2 linked regions of the Danio rerio genome follow. The protein of the gene in region 1 interacts with the protein of each later gene in a biochemical or structural test. Links are inferred from orthologs where the notes say so. Each region holds a gene or a part of one and is shown in the gene's direction. Other genes may lie near its edges. The genes, in order: abcc4 and mpp1.

Region 1 (3,839 bases):
TACTTAATGTGCTCAGGTGCTATACAAATACACTTGAATTATATTTTATGCACATCCCTACCGGATCTACCCAATCAAACTCAAATCACAGATTCTTTACAAACATTTATTCAACTCATCTTGTGAAATGTATTCGTATTGCAATATATATCGCAAAATGCTAAAATATTGCAATGTGTAATTTTTCTAGTATTGTGCAGCCCTACTTACCTGCATGCATGTTTGTGCTTTTTCACTATCACTTGAACATGTGGTTTAAATGCTTTAGGCCACTGTCATCACTCATCAATAATTCAGCATGCACATTTAAAGCTTTATGTTGATTCTCTTCCCCTTTATCATCAGCTGGCTGAATCCTCTTTTCAGTATCGGATCTAAGAGGAGACTTGAGGAGGATGACATGTTTAATGTGCTTCCGGAGGATCGGTCAAAGAAACTCGGGGAGGAGCTGCAGAGGTGAGTGAACCGCTGGGAATAAAGCGACGCAAGAACAGGTTGTTCTCAAATAAACCCTCAGAGAGTCCACCCGTGAAATGTGAGAACGCTGCAGTTCCCATTAGGTGTCGAGCTCGTGATGGTCTCCACTGGTTTGTGCAAGCTGTGCATTATGCAATGTTGAGCTCTTGTGAAAATCTCTTAAATCATTCACACATTTATTATGCATGCACGGTGAAAGGGTCACTAAGCTTCCATTGAGATTAGTAATGCGAACAAACTGTACATATTTACTAAAGTATTTATTATTCTTTGATAATGTTACTTGGTTTATATTAACTCAGTGAGTTAACCAAAGTTAATACGTTTTTCTGAAATACTTGATTCTGATTAGTCAATTACAACATTTATAAGGTATGTTCCTCCCAGAGAACAACTGAATTAATAATAATAATAATAATAAAAATAATAAATTTATTTGCATATATCGACATTAAAGCTTAATTTTCAAAATACTTTAAGCTTTTAAAATACAGAGATAAAACAAATAACACAAGCTCATACAGGTTTTTGGAGTCCTAACCATTAGAGAATTTTTCATATAACAAACTATGTACATATTTACTAGAGTATTTATTACTCCTTGTTAACATTAGTTAAAGATATTTCAGCCATTCATTGTTAGTCCTTATTAATGCACAGTGAGTTAACTAACGTTATTACATTTTTCTGAAATACTTAATTCTGATTGGTCCGTCATGATATTCCAAGGTATGTTATTCCCAGATAACAACCACTGAAGAAATAACAATAATAAATGTATTTGTATATACAGTAGCACCATTAAAGCTTAATTTTCAAAACACTTAAAAAAATACTATATAATTAATAAATATATAATTAATAACAAAGACTTATGCAAGTCTTTGGAATCTTCCTATTTGCGCTTAAATAGCCACGTGAACATTTAAGTTTGCTCGCTTCATTTGCGCGTCAAACCCCGCTTTAATCGATACGTTTAGGGCCGTGTCTGAGTCCACTAGATCCTTTCTGAGGTGCATCCGTCTCTGTGAGCTCCTAAACTCCTGCAGAAACTTAACCTGGATAATGGAGGATTTCAGCGGTGCTTCTGACTCAGCTGAGCCCAGTTTGATGAACTGTCGTCGGTGTCGACCATACCTGCCAACACTCCCATTTTACCCGGGAGTCTCCCGTTTTTCAGACCCATCTCTCGTATTGTTCTGTCTCCTGGAATTCCGGGATAAGCGCGTAAAACGTGCAAAATGTTTTCTGTTCAATACTTCATATAGAAAGATGAGACGCTTTTCAAACGGCTTCCTCATTTTTGTTTTGGTTTTGTTATTGAGATAGTCACACAGCCCATATTTACATATTTATCTAGATCTAAACCTCAGGAGAGAGGGTGGCATTGGGATGTTTCCTAAACCAGGAAAGGTATTGCAAATGTCTTTTTACCCAAATAATAATAATATTTTTTAAAAAGAAAGAAAAAGTATAATGTTCCCTTTAGAGATGCAGTGAAACAAATCTTCACAAACTACACAATTTCATGATGTTATTTCAATATTTAAAACGTTTTTTTGTATGCTGGTACTTTGTGGAACCAGGCCACAAGGGCACGTGATTTAAATGGTTATACTGTTATATATACGGAGCAGAGCTCTTGGCAGAGGCTACAGAGAGCAGGATGGAGGGTGTGTGAGGTTAACTTAATGCTCCCTCTGCTTTTCCTGCTCACTTTCATTTTGAACTACACTAAAAACGAGCCTACAGGCTACTCATTTTGAGAAGTAGTAAACTGAAGTAAAACTACTTTAAAGAATAGTTAAGTACAGTACATTTGTTTATGCATGTATTAATGATATATTAATGTAATTATAATAAACATCTATCTATCTGTCTATCTGTCTATCTATCTATCTATCTGTCTATCTATCTGTCTGTCTGTCCGTCCGTCCGTCCGTCCGTCCGTCTGTCTATCCGTCCGTCCGTCCGTCCGTCCGTCCGTCCGTCTGTCTATCTATCCGTCCATCTATCCATCTATCCGTCCATACATCCGTTCGTCTATCTATTCTTATGTCCATCCATCTATCTATCTGTCTATCTGTCTGTCTCTCCGTCCGTCCGTCCGTCTATCTATCTATCCATCCATCCATCCATTTACCATCTCAAATAAATCCACTTTGTGTGAGTAAACAGTGTATTTTTTTAAATAAAATTATTGAATCTTTTAAATTGCTTTGTAAAAAGTTAGAATACAGTTAAATTTATGCAGTTAATAACAGTAATTAAAACTAATATTAGTAATACAAATAATACAATATTTTAGGGCTAAACTATGGTAATTGAATAGCCTTTTAATGTGCCCTAAGATTATTTTTTTTAAATCTAAAAATCCCTGACAATTATTTTTTGATATGTAAAATTTTATACTTAATGGTATTGTATTTTATTACATGGAAGTAGGTCATCAGTCTTTGTAAACCTGCATTTAATTACAATTTTATTATATCTTTCTTTTTACTGTTGGTTTGCAAATGTTTTGCTTTTGGCTTCTGAGGAATGTAACATTTTGTGTTTTGCATAAAATTCAAATACTATTTCAGAATTGTTATTTAGCATTACTTTTAAATCAGCATTTATGAAAGCTTCGTAATAGCTTTTGCAGTTATTATAAAGTTATTACTATTTATTGCGTTTCGGGTACAGAGTGATCCCCTCAACTCATGAAATTGCATTTAAACATTTGTAGATAAATAATCTTATCTCTATCCAAGTTAATATGTGTTTAAGGTAAATATTTGTATCTGTTTGTTTATTCCCTACTAATCAAACACATGGCCTGTCTACTTTGCGGCCCCTTTTTACAGTCCAGTAAATTCCTTATCAGTACTTCAAGTTTAAAGCTTTGTCATAATTGATTTCCACTAATAGTTTTATTGAGAAATGATCTCTTCACAGAATAAAATACAGACATTGTACAATCCAAATTTCATAGTTGTCATTTGTTCTCTCAGTCACGATTTTACATATTGTAAACTAAATCACCAAGTATGATTAGCCATTCATATTGATGTTCTTTTTTTTCTTCACCTTGAGGTTTTATTACATAAGAACAGATAAGCAGATAAATTATTTGCAGCACAGTGGAGAAAACCCGCTGATAATCAGCCGTAAAAGTTTTTATCTCCAGCCATGAAAGCGTGGAAATTAATGACAGCGAACACAATCCTGTCATTCATTAAAAAGCACCTCCACACACACTGTTTCTCCAGCCTCTAATCATGCACTTTTAAATGAATCAGTGCTGGTTCATTTAGCTCAGAGCTCGGGGCCATGACACTCATTTCTGAAGCTTTTATTGCCAGCAGCAGCTCAATGGG
Region 2 (3,839 bases), on another chromosome or scaffold:
TATGCTCAAAACACATCCATAACTCATTAGGAGAATAAACACAACCCTGTTAGACCATGCATTGCGGCACAGACCGCAATTTTCAGTCCTTAAAATAGCAAAAGTGAATTCGGACATGCCCATTTTACGCAGCTTCTGCTTTCTGAGCTTTAGACTTTGCGCTTAGATCTTTAAAATAGAGCCAAATAAATCAAATTTTGCAAAAATTGTGTGATCAATGGGCAAAAACTGTAATATGACCTTTATAATACTGATAACCATGACAATTTTGTTTACCATAATTGTGATATGAAATGTTTATACGGCTACATCTCTAATTGTGCTGTATGCTTTCAGGGAGTAACTTTAAAGCTGAATGAGAAGCAGAGGTGTACAGTGGCCAGAATACTGCACGGAGGAATGATACACAGACAAGGTTCAGTGTGTGTGTGTGTGTGTGTGTGTGTGTGTGTGTGTGTGGTACATTGTATTACTTACACTGTGGGTACCAAATGTTCCCACAAGTATAGCAATACCAGTACAATTTGGCCTCATGGGGACATTTTTGTTGGTCCCCATGAGGTAAACGGCTCATAAATCAAACAGAATGAAGTATTTTAAAAATGTTGAAAACATTAGTAACACTGTTTTTCATTTCTTAAAAAACAGGTTCTTTACATGAAGGGGATGAGATTGCAGAAATCAACGGGAAAAGTGTTTCTAATCAAAGTGTAGACCAGCTGCAGAAGATTCTGGTGGGTATTGAAGTCCTTTGTTTGTAAAGAATAAATACATTTTAGCATGGTTAAAAAGAGCATGTATTAGAGAAATAAATTACTTTGAAATGATGCAATGCTATTGGATACTCAATTGCATTTATTTACAAATGATTGTAGTGCAGTCTAAAACTCTTATGTGTGGGTAAAAATTACACCCTAATACACTGCTTTATTTATTTATTTATTTATTTATTTATTTATTTATTTATTTATTTATTTGTTTATTTGTTTGTTTACTTATGTATTTATTTTATTATATATTTATTCATTTATTTATTTTTTATTAATGTATTTGTTTGTTTATTTATTTATTTATTTATTTATCTATTTATTTATTTATTTATGTATTTATATATAAATTACTTAATTTATTTGTTTGTTTACTTATTAATTAAATAATTTGTTTGTTTACTTATTTATATATTTATTTATATATGAATCACTTAATTAATTTGTTTGTTTGTTGACTTATTTATTTGTTTACTTATTAATTAAATAATTTGTTTGTTTACTTATTTGTTTGTTTGTTTGTTTACTTATTTTTTATTTGTTTGTTTATTTATTTACGTATTTATGTTTGTACTTTCATTTTAGTTGTCTTTTATTTCTTTAGTTTTAATTTCCAAAAGGAATCCTCATTGCACTTAGCAATCATAATAAAGCTTGTTAAGTGGATTTTATGATTTATGAAGGAATTATACTGCTTTGTTTTGTTATTTCATCTTCATTTTCAAGTAGCAGGGTATTTACAGCTACTGTTTATTTCTGTTAATACTTTCTGTGCACTCTAAGGTAAAAAAGGACAGTTCCTAGTTCTTATCATGGATGTCAATGGCTGCTTTTTCCCAACATTCTTCAAAATATCTTTTTTTGTGTTCAACAGACGAAATAAGCTTGTTTAGAACTGTGTGTAAATGAGGACATTTTCATTTTTTGGGTGAACTGTCCCTTTAAGTAACCTTCAAAAGTGTTTGTGTGTGCACATTTACTGTGATTTGACGTGTTTCTATACTGTTCCACATAACAGAAAGACACAAACGGCGTCGTCACGCTGAAAATCATCTCCAATCAGCAAAGTCGACCAATGGCGTGTGAGGTGAGTAAAACATCCGCGTCACATTTGACCAATACCCTGCTTCCATTTGTGTTTCATGATCACAATCGACTGCATCTGCAAATACTCCCTCTAATGGGGTTTGATCACTTCTTTCTTTATCTGCCTATTCTGTATGCTTGATTAAATAAAGGTGTGGGGTTTATCATGAGAAAGCAGTGAAATGCACAGGTGACTATTAAATCGACAGTAGCAGAGAATAACTGTAGATTTACTCACTCATTCAGATAATCTTCTGCCATCTGCTGGTCACACAGCGTCAAACACGAGTTAAAGGGATAGTTCACCCACAAATGAACATGCACTCAGTGTTTACTCATTCTCAAGTGGTTCCAAACCTTTAGGAGTTTCTTTTAAACACGAAAGAAGATATTTTGAAGAATGTAGAAAACCGGTAACCATTGACTTCTACTGTAGCTAATTCTATGGAAGTCAATGGTTACCGGTTTTCAGCTCGTTTCTTCCAAAGCCATGTCCAAAGTGTCTTCTTTTGTGTTCAGCAGAATAAAGAAACTCATAAAGGTTTGGATCAAGTAAAAGGGTGAGTAAACAATGACTGATTTTGTGTTATTTGGTGAACTGTCTCTTTAAATTAAGCAGACGGTGACCATGTGATGAGCTGTTGTAGTTTTCTTCTTTCATTATATAACAGAAACCATTCTGATATTGTAATGTTTGATCACGTAGATCCTTCTAGAACTCTGCTTATAGACTATAGTGACATAGTTGTAGTTATAGATCTGTCTGTCTGTTTGTCTGTGTGTAATTGTTTGTACCTTTGTCTGTTTTATATATGACATGTATTTAACATTATATTACATACAGCACACACTATTTATTTATTTTGTTTGTTTATGCTCAATGAAAAAATAATAATTTTTAAATGTTTTTTTTTTATTATTTACTTTAAATGTATTCATTTATTTTAAACTAAATAAAAAAATAATAATTAATTATCTTTAATTGTATTATTTTATTTTGTATTATTATTTATTTTTAATTAAACTTATTCATTTAGTTTACATTTTATTTATTTATTTTAAACTTAATAAAATAAAATAGTTAATTGTTTTTAATTGTATTATTTTATTTTGTAATATTATTTATTTTTAATTAAACTTATTCATTAATTTTACATTTTATTTATTTATTTTAAACTATATAAAATAAAACAATTGTTTTTAATTATATTATTTTATTTTGTAATATTATTTATTTTTAATTAAACTTATTCATTAATTTTACATTTTATTTATTTACTTATTTTAAACTAAATTAAATAAAATATTTAATTATTTTAATTGTATTATTTTATTTTGTATTATTATTTATTTTTAATTAAACATATTTATTTATTTTATATTTTATTTATTTATTTATTTATTTTAAACTAAATTTAATCATTAATTATTTTTAATTATTATATTTTATATTATTTATTTTTAATTAAACTTATTCATTAATTTTACATTTTATTTATTTACTTATTTTAAAATAATTAAATAAAATAATTAATTATTTTTAATTGTATTATCTATTTTGTATTATTATTTATTATTAATTAAACATATTTATTTATTTTGCATTTTATTTATTTATTTATTTTAAACTAAACAAAATAATTAATTATTTTTAATTATTATATTTTATATTATTTATTTTTAATTAAACATATTCATTTATCTAACAATTGTATTTATTTGTTTTAAATTAAATAATTGTTTATTTTTAATTGTATTATTTTACTTTGCATTGTTTGATTTTTAATTACTTTAAAAATAAATAAAACTAATTTAATTACTTAATTTTAATTACTTATTTTAAGCTAAATTAAATTTATTTATTGTATTATTATTTTTTATTAATTTTATCAATTTATTTTAAATGTTTTGTATTTATTCTTTTTAATTAAACATATTTATTTTTGATTACATTTATTATTGAAATATTTTTTATTTATTTATGTA

Evidence for each region.
Region 2: the proteins of abcc4 (region 1) and mpp1 form a complex in vitro, tested with the Homo sapiens proteins (2 studies listed by BioGRID and IntAct, with this or other methods). The link is inferred for Danio rerio from reciprocal best matches to the Homo sapiens genes ABCC4 and MPP1.

Annotation. Positions count from the first base shown.
Region 1 is NC_133181.1:8,262,990-8,266,828, forward strand, and holds part of abcc4 (ATP-binding cassette sub-family C member 4), read left to right. Parts: intron 1-345; coding exon 346-456; intron 457-3,839. UniProt on the Homo sapiens protein: ATP-dependent transporter of the ATP-binding cassette (ABC) family that actively extrudes physiological compounds and xenobiotics from cells.
Region 2 is NC_133196.1:48,093,867-48,097,705, reverse strand, and holds part of mpp1 (55 kDa erythrocyte membrane protein), read left to right. Parts: intron 1-336; coding exon 337-415; intron 416-648; coding exon 649-734; intron 735-1,785; coding exon 1,786-1,854; intron 1,855-3,839. UniProt on the Homo sapiens protein: Essential regulator of neutrophil polarity. Regulates neutrophil polarization by regulating AKT1 phosphorylation through a mechanism that is independent of PIK3CG activity.